Lepisosteus oculatus: one gene and its partner. The protein of the gene in region 1 binds, or shares a complex with, the protein of each later gene. Links are inferred from orthologs where the notes say so. Each region holds a gene or a part of one and is shown on either strand. Other genes may lie near its edges. The genes, in order: ednraa and edn1.

Region 1 (7,896 bases):
AATGCAAAACACAGGCAATACACAGATAAGAAAGAACACAACTGACCTGTTAATTTGAACAAATCAATCACTGTAACTAAAAAGCAGATAATTTCAAAGCTGGAAGAAGGAAAATCTTATCAAAATGTATAATATTTTTTGGGTTAGAAAGACCAGTACTCTGGTAGATTTATCTAAACCATGCAGCTTCGTGACTGACTTTGGTTTACAAACTAATTTGATGTTCAGAAAAAAATAAGTAATTTAAGTATAAAGTAAATATGTATGTATACATTCTGTATATAGCATATACCTTTAAACCCTGTGGCATGAAAGATGACTAATGTATTAGAATATAAATATGTGTATATATAAAATATGTGCAAATATGTGTCTAAAGAGAGAAAAACAATTGTTATATATAATATTTATATATTATAGAAAAAACAAAGCATTGAGCAAATGTTAAAATCTATCATAAAAATGCCCTAGTACAATTCAATATGTACTAGGTATGAAAGAAAACAAAAATGATAAATACTGGAACCAGTAGCATTTGTTGTGTTCTTAATGGATCTCAGTATTTTAAACCTAGAACATACAAACAATGACATGGAAGACTGAACATTCCTCCTACAGCAAAAACAGATGTGGTGGAAGTTTCCCTTAATTAGAAGATCAAACAAGTGAAAGGGACATTAACAACAGCTTTATAAAGGCAAGGTACACAGTGTTGGGTGGCTACAATCTTGAGTTTCAAAAAAGAGATATACAGCAACCTTCGTAACAAATCATTATGAATCTTAATGAGATTAAATCATGGCTTGCCTCAGGGGATGCTTTTATAGGGGATAAAAGCAAACATATTTCTTCTAAGGGTTTGGAAACCAGGCAGACTATTCCTACAGGTCAAAGGGTTGTTGTTTTTGTTGGATGTAATTCATGTGACTGTGTGTCTTCACTGGGAATCAGCCTTAGAAAAACAGTGCTGTGATGTAGGCACTGGAGGATGGGTACATAGGAATCTGTCTGGAGTTTGCTCTGAGCTGCAACGAGGATGTGTGGAGACAACCCTAGGTGGTCTCCTAGTTGAACAGAAGTGCTTTACCCACACAAGTCAAGGGCATGCTTCTACATCCCATGTGCTTCACTGAAGCCCCAAGAAGAGACTATATCTTTATTAGAAAGATTGTAATCTTGGAAGGGTCCTTCATGGTAAAGTTGTAAACCTGGGACGTCATATGCTACAGTATACTGTTTACCGCAATAAAGAAAATGAAATACTTTATTTTATATTTTATTTTAATACTTTATGAAATACGCAATCAGAAAAGTACTTGCCGATTCCCTTTTGCACTTAGGGATCGAGTGTACGTGCACCCTGTGATGGACAGGGCTCTCCAGATGTGCTTTAGGTACCTGGATAGGCTCCACGTTGCTACAACCCCCACCATAAATAACCAACTTTCTGATAATGGATGGATGGATTTGCAACTGGGTTATTGTACTTTTGGCAAGTGAGTATTAAGATGAAAATCCTGCATTTGATTGTGTAACAGCTGTTCCAATGCACGCTACTAGTACATTTACAAGTTAGGCAGTTAGGAAGTTGATTGTAGGCAGTGTTCAATTTTGTTCTGAAGACCATTCTTAATATTCTAAATTACTATTTCATACATTTTTAATATGTACACTTCATTCTGTAACATTAAGTCACATAATATATGAATTTCTACTGCTGAAATGACTGAACTTAAAGACCTTCTTCCTGATAATCCCCCTGATAATATTATGTTACAATTTCCCATGTAGCCACACAATTGACTCAGTGAAAGACAAACCTGATGGAGTTTCTTTGAACAATACACAGAGGAAAAATGTTCCCTTTTTTTAGCAAAAAAAAATTCTCTAAGCCACATGAGAGTAGCAGTTCATGTAGACAGATGAGGAATATTGGAAAGATGTTTCTGTCATTTACACTTCCCCATTAGTTTTTAAAACTTTATGAAAAATCATCCATTACTGAGAGATGATGAATACTTTTGAATGCAGAAAACTTCCAAAACAGCTGTCCAGGAGGGCTATCTTTTTCAACTAGAAGATAAGAAATATTAAAAGCACATTTTGTTTATTTTTCAAGGTCTGTGTTTAAACAAAGTGCCGTAGAGTATGGTCTAGACTTATTTTTATGTAACAATGCAAACACATAGAAAAATGAAAGCTCGGGTATAAAAAAACACTAGGTGCAATATTTTGAGAAAAATATTTTATGCTATTTAGTAATGTCACATCCTGTTCAAGCTAAATGGCTTAGCATTAAGACATTAATTTTGAAAGCTTCAAAATGAAAGCTAGATAGAAAATATTCCATTCATTTTCTAGCTGCTTCATCCTATCCGTGGTCGCAGGGGACTCGGAGCCTATCCTGCCAAGCAGAGGGCAGTAGGCGGGTTACACCCTGCTTGGGACGCTGTGGGCAGACACACAGACTCAATCATACCCACACCAGGGCCAGTTTTTCCAGAAGCCAATTAGCATGCTGTCACTCATTTATCCAGCTGTTTACATTTTTGTAGTTTACCTTGAGTTGTTGTGATAACCTTTTTCAATGTGTAAATGTAGTAGGATTTTTTTCAAATAAAAAGGAAACAGTTAAATAGTATGGAGTAAACTGTAGAAAAGGTTAATTTTTTTTTCAAATTTCAAAACCTATTTCTGCAAAAAAATAATGTTACTGTTCGCTTAAATGTGTAAAATGGGTTTATAAACTCCTTCCCTGGTGTATCCTTTTATGTTAACAATCTTTTTCACTGCAGGATGATTCATAAACCATTAAGGAAATGAAATGCAGAAATTCGTTGTTTCATTAGAATCAGAAATAATTCATTTAGCACCAGAGTACATGGAAACCCTAAACTATGATTTTCCACTCAGTTTTTCTAACAATCTTTCCCATTTTTATTTTTCCCCACTGTCCTTCCTGTGACATTAAAACCTGGAAAACTAGACCTAAGATGGGCAACGCAGGCAACTTTAGCTACTTCAATCACAATCATTTAGCTACAATCAATCATATTAATTATGTCACAGTCTCCTCCTTGAAGAGTTTAGAGGCTTAGATAGAATGTAACAATAACGATGGCACAGCCCCAATTGCAAAAACGTTTATGAGGAGGAACTGTGTACCCAAAGTCCACACCCAAAAAACAAAGTGAAAAACACAAACTAACCAGGAAAAAAAACAACACAAAGCTAATAGTATAATAATAAAACAACAACAATAATAACAATAATAATAATCGCTGTACAAATAGATTGTTGTAAGCAGCTCCTATACCAACCCACTACAAAATCTTCTCCTATCACTCCCCCTCCCCCAGGAAGAGCACCTTTTCTAGGTTAAACTCCTCCCCCTAGAATATTCCACTATAAAGCAAAAATAATTTTACAAAATAATACTCAGAATTCTGATATACACATTTCTTCATTAAATATACAACTAAAGAATGAACATGTTATTAACAAAACTATAATATCATACTCCTTTTATGTCCATAAATATTGTTTAAGAAAACACTACTCCCTCTTAATGGTATCTTCTTACAAATCAATCAACCCAAGCCCAAGCCTGAAACAGGCACTACTAAGCCAGCCGTTGTTGCCATGGCAAGAATTGGGTCCTAAAGGTTGTGGGAGAAACCATTTTCCCGGTGAGAAATCCAAACAACTTATTTATTTGAAACCCGTGAGTTGATCGCCAATTTGGTTCATTTCACTTCTAAAACAAAGGAAAACAGGTGTTTGGGTTAATGTTTAATTTTGATAATACGGGAAAAACCTTACTTTCCTCTGTGTGTGCACTCACAGAGCAAGCAAAGCTATCCCCCGAATTCCAGACTAGTCTGTTTACGTTGGAAACCAGCGTTATCGCCTTTGTTTAGATAGTGAAGTGTTTGCGTATGTGTGTGTATGTGTTCATCTGGATACCTCAGGAGTGTCAGGTGATCTGGAAACGGAGTCTCCAGTCACAAATTATGAACACTTTAGACAGGGGGCAACCATAGATTCTTTAACCCCCAAAACCTTTTTTTTTCCAATTGGGAAATTGTGTTTATCCTTTGCCCATGCCCATTGTTGCTAGATTTTAAAAATGTTATGAAACTCTGTAAAGTGCGAAATTGTTGCAAAGAGCACTATAGTAAACAAAAGATTGAGACTGATGGAAAAAACAACAACAGACTGCCCCCATCAGTCATTTCTTAGTAACAGTAATCTTGGTGGTGTTCTAACCCACTGTCCATCCTCCATCTCTGATGAAAAGCAAACTCCATGCCACATCTAGTATGTGTTAACAGACTTGTCTCGAGAAGCAATAAATGGGGTTATAACCAAAATGCATTAAAAAACTCATACAGTGAATTCCAAATCCTTTTATATCTTTTGATTTTCACTCGTATTGGCTATGTTTAAAAACATTAACTGTCAATGAACTGTATATAAAAAGGCCAACCTTAGAATATCTTCCATCTCCTCTTAAAATTGGTTCCCATGGATATACAACATGTAAATTATTGGTCATTATTAAGCAAACACAGTCTTAAAAAAATGGAGACCAAAGGTTTCACACTATGTGCACTAATGTATAATAAACAGTCCCCCTGCTTCAGAAAGCCCCCTCCGAAAATGCTGTTTCATATGTACGCACTATGGCAAAAGGAGCTGGCCCGTGAGTCAGTGTACTGCATGTCTGGCCTCTTCCTGTGTATTTTCCCAAGCTGTGGCCTTCTGGTTCTCTTTGGATCACTCACTGAGTCACGTAGCAGCTAAGAGACAAACCACCTCCCATCATTTATCATGTGTGACAGCCTCTATCCAGAGACAGACGTAGAGTACTCTGTGGTAAGTGACCCTTCATTCAGAAGCAACTTTATTTTCTTTCATTACAATTTAATATTATAACCTTGCTTGGTGAGATTCTGCAAAGTAGCTTTCTTGCTTATTTAAGTATCTAATTGTTTTATTTTAAATGTAACTGTCTATTTTAAAACTTCTCTTTTAAAAGAATTGTGCTTTTAAGCAGTTTTTTTTTCTGAAACAGGAAACCTTAAAAATTAATCACAGGAAAGCCAAACTGCAATTTACCAACACAAGTGCCCCTATTTAAAGCATCACTTTGTACCATATTTTGTATTTAAATTTATAAAAAAAACAGTGCAGGAATAAAACACTGTTTTATGCCTACATTGTATAAGAATACAAAAGAATGTTTGAAATTAATTATGGTTCTTCTGAAACACGTTATGCAACTAAAATTTACAACAGGTTACACCAAGAATTCATACAATTACTCCATTCTCCTTTTACACCACTTCCCTTATATTCTTTATATGTTCAAGTGGATTGAACATATTTAAGTGCACTGCATCCTCTTGAGTTTTTCTGGCTTATACTCTAACAGACTTGTTGTATTTTGCTCTTTTTGGATGATTTCATTTCATAGTGTTAAAAAAAAGTGCATCAAAGTTTCAACAAAGTAATTTCACTGGTTGGAATTTTTTGTTTAAAAAAAATCTTTCTTACAACACAGTACAGCACCCGATAAAGGGGTTCCATAGATGTAACTTAAATTTGTTCTAATACCATTTTTTCTTCAACCCTAATCTCATCTCCCCGAAATATATTTAATGGCATTTGTTTTTACTGCTGTTCTTTTCCAAATTCTGAAGGCTACAAGAACTAACTGATACCAGTCTGATACTGAAATGTGTTTCCAGCTTTCATTCCTGCTAATAGGCATACAATTTTCATACACAACTTTAATGTCCTCAGGGAGAATATAATGTAAACTGTAGAAGTTTGGTTTGTTATTTTGAATATTTTTTCAGGTTCACTTACAGCTTATTGCTGGGTAGCTACTGGTTACACGATAAAGACTTCCTATCTTGGTTTACATTGGTATCAGTGTAGATCAAATGAACACAGAATTTGAATTTAAGTTTAATGGAAGAATGCCTGAATACTAAAGGCTGTGCTTCTTGGTAGTTAGGTTTGTAATGAACAGCTGCCCCTTTAAGTTTTATTAATTCCTGAATTTGTTATTCGCACTTGGACTTGAGCAAGTTGGCTTGCATTTGGACTAAGACAGTGGAAAAATAAAAGTATTTCTAAGTCTGACTGAGGAGAAATAAACAAGGCTTAAAATGTAATATCAAACATAAGCCAATTTAACTGGACATTTTCTTACTTGTTCTTGTTCTTACCATTGGAGAGATTCATTTGAATTCACCATGAGACTTTAGAAATTAAAAACAAAATTAACAGAGTACTAGGAATCAAACAAAACAATTAGCAGTGTAATTCCTCTTAAAAGGGAACTGTAGTCCCAATTTCTCAGACTGCTGCATTAAATCATGGTAACAAAATTAATTGATTGATGACATAAATAAATTTGACCAATTTTGAATGACGCGCACAATTTAACTGTGATGAAGTAACAGAACTGCTTAGGGCAGGTAATCAACAATGAAACTGGACTTTCAATTCAATTGCCTACTGCTTATTCCAGATTTCTGTCTTATACAAGACCCTTGATCCAAAACTCAGTTAACAAAATTTGATATTATGATTTTCTGTATAAATTATAATTATTAAATGGCTTTTAGCCAATTGCTAAAGACATGAAAAAAGACATGTTTGCATGATTAGCATATCCCAAACAGAAATATTGTTAAATCCATATGTAATTCTTTTAGCTCCCACTGAGAATATGTGCTGACATTTAACATGGCTGCTAAATTAATTGTACTATTAACATACCTCATGCAATAAAACTGCATTGTTTCAAAAGCATCACACTTAACTATGTTTTCAGGGCATGAAGAGTGACAAGCACCGCCTGAATAAAGCCCCTAGCAGGACATGAACACATGCAAATTCATGAAGGAATACAAGTATTAGAAGTTTTGATTGTAGTAAATTTATAACACAAACAAAACACTGGCTGTGCAAAAATAAAATAAAACAACTACCACCATGAAGCACTTTAAATATAGTAGCAACATAACTAATCACAGACATTTGAGAATCTGTCTATTAAACCTTCACCAATTACAGTATCTAATTAACTAATTAATCCACACTGTGGCTATTTACAAATATTAATCTAAATTAGTCTCTAGTGGCAGGTTGACTGTAATATCAATCTATCCCAGAGGGGTGTTTTAAGTTTGAATTTTTCCATATTGTGAAATTTATCACAGATAAATTGTTCCTTTATCAGAAGGAGGCTTATACCTGGTAATGGTCATGAAAACCCATAGGGCACAACCCAAAAAGGAGCACCTATCCATCGCAGGACACACACTTAAGCACACAGGGATAATTTAGAGACATCAATTAACCTGTAAACAAATTCAGGGTATACAAGGTAAACTTTATTTACAGTAAACAAAATTTTGATGGCTGGCTTTAAAAAAAGAAAATGGAAGAACTCATGTTCCCCTTTAAAAGATCTCAAATGTGTGCACTTTTTTCATTTGCAATTTTTCCTGAATCAATGTTCAGCTGCTGTCGCTACACCCTCATTTCAGGACCTCAGTACAAAAAATCTAATGTTTCAGTGTAATATTAAGGATGATAATGGGACCATAATGATTTAAATATAGTAAACTAATTAAATGCATCATGTATTTCCATTTTTTATCTCTGACTGCAGCTCCATTATATGCTATTCTTAACTAAAACTGATGAAGGTAAGAGATGACTTTGCTGCTGAATTTCTTTCATTCATATGCTCTCAGGCCAATAACAAACAGTTACAAATTGAAAAGGAACACATGATTGTGGCAATTACAGATCCTGTCTGTTCGTTTCCTCGACAATGCTAATTTACGTTCTCTTTAATCCATTAATAATGCT
Region 2 (7,904 bases), on another chromosome or scaffold:
AAGAACCTTCGGTGAACCTAAGGTGTTAAAACTGCCAAATCACAGTGGGAAAACAGTAGGATATTATTTTTGGTACGAACTAATACACCAATTACTCAAAAGACAAAATACTTTCCCCACTATTCTCTTATCTTTCTGTTTACAAGTGAGATTTGTCTTTCAAACGTCATTATGGAACGTGCAATCTGACCATCATTCCATTATGGGGGAATCAGTTTTCAGGACATTGGGCATTTCCCATTACAGGAAAGTTAAAATATCTGGAAGGCTTAACTACTGATATGTTAGGCTCCTGTGAGCTTCAGGGACAGCTGTAAAAGCACATGCATATGTCCTACAAGGTTTTGAAATATTTGCAGCCCATCCCACCTTTATAGAAGAATGACCTTCAGATGATGATGTAAGGACTTGAACTTCAATTGATTTTACTAGTTCTCAACTGGATTGAGATCTTGAGCTGGTTCTGGTAAGGGAAGGTGATGGAAGTCTTTCTTATGTCCCTCAAGTCATACATTGCCTGTCACTCAGAGAGCCTATTCGTCTGACCTGTCATTCCTTGGATTTTGGCCAGATGTGGTATTAGTGAATCAGAATTCCCTCTTGTCCTGTTTCAGCTCCTTTTGGAATTGTTGTATGTTGCTTAATATTAGTTTGATTATTTCTCTGTTATTTTAATGGGACTAGAAGGCCTAGACAGATTTAAGGTAAGCTTTCCAAATTGCTGCGCATTTCAAGCACAAAAACATAAGATGTCTGAAGTCCCAGTGCACTACAAAATCAAGAGGAAAGCTTAATCCTAAGATCACAAGTGGAAACTACATGAATGTGAATTTAAAACTGAGAACGGGAAGCACTTCTTAACAAAAAAGGGTTGTGGGAGTCTGGAACAAGCTATTCAGATGTGCTGCTGCAGCTAATACCCTGGCTTCTATCAAGAAATGGCTGGATGGATCCATACATCTTTAAGCTACAGTCAAAATAGCTAGTCTGTGACCATTTTAATGATTTTTAGATTTGTATGTATTATGTATTGCCATACAGAGCTTGAGGTGAAAAGTATTATCTGAATGGGATCTAATACTGACAATATTTGTGTTAGGAATCCCTGGTGAGAAGATACACGGATCCTGTGCAGACGCAGGCACGGGTGATAGATGAGGCAGGCGAACAAACCAGAACGAGAGGCAAGGTCGTAGTCAAAAGGCGAAAGGCAAGTCGTAATCCAGGAAGTTCACCGGTAGCAGACAGTCCGAGTCGAGAGGCGAGGAGCAAAGTCGAAAAGGCAGAAGGGGAATCCAAAAACCGGAATAAACGAGGTACGGGGAAAAACGCCAGGTAGAGCTCTCAAGGAGTAGACTCAATACCGAGCAGTGGGAAGCAGGTGCAGATGGTTTAAATAACAGTGCGCACCGCAATGAGTGTGCGCAGGTGGTTTAACTCGTGCGGCGGCGTTTGTTGATAATCACCCGCTGCTGGGTCTGATTAGCTCGCTTACGCTTTGTCTTTGACTGCCTGGTTGTCGTGACAATTTGGTTTGGGGTTAATTCCCAATATTATCGCATTGTAGGAAGAATGGCTTTCTTTGCTGGGAAGGAAGTGTGTGCCCATGCTGCAGTGTCTAAGTGGTCAGGATATTACTACGGGACTACAGGAGCTAAGAGAAGGGTGCCTCAAATACTCTGTAAGTTAAAAAAAAATAATTCAGCAAACAATTCCATGTTCTTGAGCGTCAAATCACTTAAACGGTAAACTTTCCTTGTATATATCTATCAGCAGTTTTTTTTTTTCACTACTATCCATAGTGCAGCATAAACAAATTTTGATTCAGGACGATTTAAAAGAGTAAATACTGAAAACCTGCCCACAATTTGTCAGAAACTAATATATTTATGTTACAAAAGATGTCCAGCTGTTGCACCTAATGATGAAGCTGTACTGTAGGTGCGATGCTGTGCAAGTCTGGATTTTGGTAAATTTAGTGTTTTGCCTACTTTTCTGTACAATTTGGTTTTGAGTTCTTTTCTGTATGTAGTCTTGGGAAAATTTACCCAATATGTAAATTGCAATCAGCAGGTGGGAGGAAATTACGATTTCGTCCAGGCATATTTCATTCTAACGTTTATGTCGCATTGAAAAATCATCAAAACGAGCTATTCTGCTTGAAACCGAATGTACAGAACATGTATAGAACATGATAATCGAATGGACAGTTTCTAACCGAGTCCTGGCTGTAGAAACTTGAGCACACGTCAGGGTGGGTGAAATTCAGTACGAATCCAGATTGCTATGAATTTAAAGTTGATGGTACGGAACTTTTACCTCCAGAGGTGTAAGACACACTTAATTTTGCCTAAAAAACACCCATGGATATCTGTGCAGTAGACGCATACTGTATATGAACATTATGTTGGTCCTTAATGTCCAATAACAGTGTAAAAACAGACACCAAAGAAACAATTTTGCGGATTTTTAAATTCATTCGCGTACACTTGATTTTAGAGATGCTGCTAAAAGTGAAACTTAATAATAATAAGTGAAACTTATCAAAAACATTTTGGTCGTTTTGTGCTCTGAAGGAGGACACTCTGTGCTTTGAGGACACACTGCTGTTCATCGTCGCTCACAAAGGGCAAGCGAGCCGCGCTGTGGGTCCCGGAATCCAGCGCTCCGGTCGGACTCACCTGCTTGCTCACGGGCCTGAGGATGTGACGTATAGATTACCGCTGGCTGAAGACATGGTCAAATACCTGAGGTCACCCCTCCAAGCACATCTATCATCTTAAAGGTCCGTTTAATATGTAAACAAATTACTTTTACTATTTTACTTCATCAATAAAATAATAAAAACACGTACCCCTTTTTGTGGTTCTGTGGCATTACAGGGCTTCTTTGACAGTGAATGTAATTGAAAAGGGCAAAGGTTAAATATTATATGTTTCTACCACATTTCACGAATTGAAAGAAACTATTGCTGCACAGACAATATAATTTATAAATCGATGGCTGATTGAATTACTCATATTTTTCGACGCATTCTGCGATATGTATTACTTATAGAAACCAGACAGTCTGGATACTAATAAAACAGCAATTAACTGCAGTGCTTTCTGACTGAAGTGAATGGGTATTGACCTTTGTTTGACAGCCTGTTGGGTTAAAGTGTTTAGACAAATGAATTCACTGTAGTCACAGTAGTCTTTTATAATGATTAGCTCATTCTGTCTGCTTTCCTTAACCTTTTTATTCCGCAGCAAAGGAAACTATACTTTTGTATGATCCTGTCCAAGAACACCTGGTGTTGTAAATGTTGCATAAGTGATAACACCCGTTCAGTCTCTGTTTCACTCTAATAAAAATGAAATTGCTTCAAACTTGCCATGTCTAAATTAACCAAGGTCCAGCAGTGCACTGAACAATACACATCGTAGTCATTCGTTCAGATCTTTCCTGCTTCTGGTATAATGCAAATAATTGTTTCCCTTTTTTGTGGTCGAAGGATATAATTCATTTGTTGCATAGTTCTAATTTAGATCTTTCAGTTAATGGTAAATAAATCCTTGGTCCTTTTGCGATGATATTGTAAAGACGCAGAAAATATGGTTAATAAATATGGTTACGAAAACATTCACCTCACATATTAAATCATCAAAACATTTTTTTTTAAATGTAACAGTTCGGAATGCATGGATTTCTTAATTGATATTAAATATTCAGTGAGATTCCGATTCTCAGTGCGGCAGTGCCACCCTGAGTCGGGCCTTCCATTAGCCAGTATAATGTGGATTATGACGCCTCCTTGTGGTGATAAAGTGCAATGAATAACTGTACGTATAGGTGTTAGGTAAAAGATTTGTTTTTAAAGGGGAATAGTAAATATCAAGAGCGGTAAAGCTTTTCATCGACGGACTATCATTATGCTTCATTTATTGCTAAAGACTGAAATGTCATTATTGATTTATTTATAATACTGTCGCCGATTATTCCGTCGAAAATTCAGTGGCACAGAGAGCGAATGGGATCATTTTTAGTTATTGATACAGTAATCAGAAACGGTACAAAATTTAAATGAAAAGGCGAAAATGTACCCCTTTTACACCCCATAGCTTTCTTTTAATATTGGAAAGTAACGTTTGGGTAGAAGGGATTAGTTTGTAACGTTTACATGTTAGGTTTTCTACAAACGTTGTATTTCACTACACAGTGTATTTTTACATATATAACGACACTTCAAACATAACATGATGTGTTTTGAAAAAATAAACTCATAATGAATTATATATTGGTAAGCAAAACAGATTCTTCTTTTGATACAATTATTAAACTATTTTTCGTTAGCTAAAAAAACCTACAGGGAATTCGATGATGCTGTCAAGTCTTTTCAGAGCACAAAATCTCTGATGAATACTGACAAATACTCCTCAGTCGAATGAGAACAGTCAGGACCACAGCATATTTTCTGTTTTGTATCATGAGTAGAAATCGTGTAGAAAGATTCGAAACTTCTGTTGTAAACTTCTGTCACGAGTCAAAACATTTTGAACAATTGTCTTGTTGCGCGTCAAGTCCGTCTACCTATACAGGAGTTAAGAACCTTCCATCAAACACGTCTTCGTTTTATCGCCTAAGCCCGTTTAACAAGACTATATCGTAACTCTGAATTCAATTATACGGACGAGTGCCCACGTATTATTTATAAAATACAGGTAACTTAAAGGCATTAAATAAAAAAACAGCTTTGAATATTATACAGTGATTTCCCTACAGCTGTTTGTGCTCGTCGGACATGATCATCAAGGTCATTTACAAGCTTCGGCAGACCAAAACTACCGAAACAAATGGTAGCTGATGTTTCAGTTGCACGCCCTCTGCTGTTAAGCATGTGCAAGCGCAGCACCGAAATCTTGGCAAGAGCTTCGCCTCAAACTGCCGCTCGGCGTCTCCATCCCTCTGAAGTCCTCGAAATACTTTTTTTCTTATCTCAGCCTGCACGTTGCTTGTTGGTGACTAATAACAAATAGCATTGTCTCTTAATGAGACGCAAGACAAAGCTGTTTACACACGTCTGAAGGAGGAGGAAAGCAGCGGCGCGGGGGGTGTATATATACACATGTATAAAAAGGAGAAGCGCTCTTAAAAGCAGAATTATTCTCTCAAGACTCCGACTGGAATACACTCGCGCTTTTGAAAGATTGATCTTGCTGTGCAGAAGCATCTTTAATTCCATCTTGCTGGTATTCGACATTCAATTATTGCAAGGAATACTTATTCGGAGGAAAGTTATTCTATATAAATATTAAAAATGGAATTACACATACTTTTCTCAATGATGTCTTTATTATATTCTGGACTTCTTCAGACAGGTAAGTTGAACGCTTAGGTGTTTATGCCTTTTTTCACAACTGTCAGGTCTATAGCTATACAGTATATAGGCGCTGTTTCTTAAACACCATTAATCTTGGACTTTAATCTTTATAGAAAATAAAGATTGCAAACATGCGATTTGTGATCAGAAATTAAATGAGATGAATTGCATTTTTTTTTACTTCATGTATTCAAATTAAAGTACCGTAACAAACAAAAGTGCATATAACAGATATAGAGTATATACCGTTCGAAATGCTTTTTGGGGAGGACCACAATGACAACTGACAGTCTCATTTTCATTCGTGTATTGGGCACACTTTGTTTAAAACTGCAATGCGACGATACAATACGTTTTGACACAAAAATGGCCATTATTCGACAACTGGACAAAATTCCATACTGGGACACAAATGCGCAATTAACCAAATCGCAAGTAATTTTTATGAGGAAAAGCAAATGTCCCAGTACCCCCAACAACAACGTATTTTGTTCGTCTACGGTCAGTACTTATTTATGTGTAACCCGTATATGTATAAATATAACCTTTTATTGTTGTTGTCTTTGCAGTGTCCATGTCTTTAAGCCAAGAAACATCCTCAGTCTCGAGCGCACCTTGGCGGCACATCAGAACGAAAAGGTGCTCATGTTCCACATTTCTGGACAAGGAATGCGTCTACTTCTGTCACCTTGACATTATTTGGATCAACACACCAGAGTAAGAACCTGCCTAAATAATCTCTCTCTACTTATATATTATATAAATAACTGCAGAGGTATTTCGATCTTATATGAAAGCAGGTGGAAGTGAAGTTAAGCATTCTGTGAAAGGAGAATAACGAGTAGGATCGAATATTTAATCCATCATTTTGACTTGCTTTTTTGATTTCCTAACGTTGGATAGTGAAACTTAAGAAAACGATTACTAAACAAGCAAGCGCTTTATACAGTATAGGCTACTGTAACAACCTATCATAGGACATTTTGCTTCTTGTGTTTCTTGCGCTACGAACCAACCCACAGCACATCAGGGGAAAATAAGTTGCTACAGTTCATGCCATGGTCACATGGAATCTGCATTCCAGAACCTTACTGCCAGAAACCTAATGTAACTCCTTCGTCTTTGCAGACGCACTGTTTCCTACGGGCTAGGAAGCGCTCCGAGAGTGAAGCGCGCTCTCAGGTCTTTTCCGAACGGACTGACGCATGGAGACTCAAGGTGCACATGTGCCAGTAAAGAAGACAAAACGTGCGCGACGTTCTGTCAATCGGAAAATCTACAGAGGCAAGTGACATTTCTGTTATTCGAACTGGGGGGTATTCATGCTTAAATAAAGATTGCACGTCTGATTTCAGTTTTCACTGATAGTGTTATTTTGCGAACGACAGGAGAATATTGTTTTTTCTCGTATTAATCGTGACTCTGTACTGTTCAGCTGGGTTCACCATCAACAGCTTTTAAACAACCTAAAAGCAAAGTGATTTGCCAGAAAACAGAAGTTGTTTCTCTGGTAGACGTGCTCTCCTTTTCCAGCCTTTAAATTAAAGCTAAGAAAAGCTGTCCCCCTCGAAAATTAAAGTTCCAATTTTAATCCTTTTTGAACGTGTTCAAAAACGTTAGAAGAAATTAGAACAAACGTTACAAATCTACTTCAATCTATACAGTATGTGTAATTCTTAGATTTTCTATATATTCAATATATGGATTTTAAAGCATCAATCATTGTGTTTTACGTATTGAATGAGATTTAATTGTATGAGAGGAGTTACTAAGGTGCTACTTGAATTGCTACTACAATTCAAAGAACATCAATACAACCAACACTGGGAACACTGTGAGGTTTTTGTGGATTTCTCGTCTCACATTACACAAACTTTCATCTCTAGATTGCAAAGCACAGACGTGAAACTACAGGCTGTCTCTGCAGAAGCCCAGGACTGCACAGGGTGGCAGTGCTTATACAATCTGGCAGCAAACAAGAGAAAAATTACAAGGTAAGAAATAGAAGAGATTACAACCTCTCGAATCGACACGTGTCCAAGAAAGGCATACTGTAGCATAATCATAACTTCAAAAGGGTAAGATGTCTCCTAAGATGCACCGTAAATGTGACAGCACATAACATTCTGAAATAGGTATACAGTATATAGAATATATGCATTGAGAATCACTTTTTTGTGTCATTGACAAGAACAATGAGACAACAGAATGTGTTTTTTGATCTCTTTCAAGAGACGAATAGATTCCGATATGTACAGTACTCTTTAATTTTCATCCCACATTTTTTAACTAATTGAGTTTCAAGTAGATTCTAAGTGTGCAAGTGAATTGGGAAGAGGTCAATGCAAGTTTGAAACAGCTATTTAGTAAATCATGGTTTGGAGATGGATGTAGAGTCTCATGGTTTAAGTCTTAATGTGGATAGTATCTTAAATAGTTAATGCCTTTTTAAAAAATATTTCTTGTTTGTTGAAGGATTGACTAAAGGTTTCTTTAACATATTTATGCTCTACTTTCATCTGACCCAAACATAAAAAAGCTT

The links.
Region 2: the proteins of ednraa (region 1) and edn1 are in contact, whole or in part, in a cryo-EM structure (PDB 8HCQ), measured with the Homo sapiens proteins. The link is inferred for Lepisosteus oculatus from reciprocal best matches to the Homo sapiens genes EDNRA and EDN1. Residues at the interface, in NP_001948.1 of Homo sapiens: Tyr68, Gln72, Thr73, Lys74, Tyr129, Asp133, Ile136, Asn137, Lys140, Leu141, Gly144, Arg145, Trp146, Gln165, Lys166, Val169, Glu220, Phe224, Val227, Phe229, Tyr231, His236, Lys237, Thr238, Cys239, Met240, Leu241, Asn242, Gln252, Lys255; in NP_001403492.1 of Homo sapiens: Cys53, Ser54, Leu58, Asp60, Lys61, Glu62, Cys63, Val64, Tyr65, Phe66, Cys67, His68, Leu69, Asp70, Ile71, Ile72, Trp73.

Annotation. Positions count from the first base shown.
Region 1 is NC_090696.1:26,606,546-26,614,441, reverse strand, and holds the start of ednraa (endothelin receptor type Aa), read left to right. Parts: upstream 1-4,742; 5' UTR 4,743-4,878; intron 4,879-7,896. UniProt on the Homo sapiens protein: Receptor for endothelin-1. Mediates its action by association with G proteins that activate a phosphatidylinositol-calcium second messenger system. The rank order of binding affinities for ET-A is: ET1 > ET2 >> ET3.
Region 2 is NC_090705.1:17,404,024-17,411,927, reverse strand, and holds the start of edn1 (endothelin-1), read left to right. Parts: upstream 1-4,876; 5' UTR 4,877-5,299; coding exon 5,300-5,360; intron 5,361-5,931; coding exon 5,932-6,079; intron 6,080-6,490; coding exon 6,491-6,646; intron 6,647-7,248; coding exon 7,249-7,356; intron 7,357-7,904. Other genes in the region: uncharacterized protein, read left to right, coding at 1,568-1,681, 2,577-2,783. UniProt on the Homo sapiens protein: Endothelins are endothelium-derived vasoconstrictor peptides. Probable ligand for G-protein coupled receptors EDNRA and EDNRB which activates PTK2B, BCAR1, BCAR3 and, GTPases RAP1 and RHOA cascade in glomerular mesangial cells.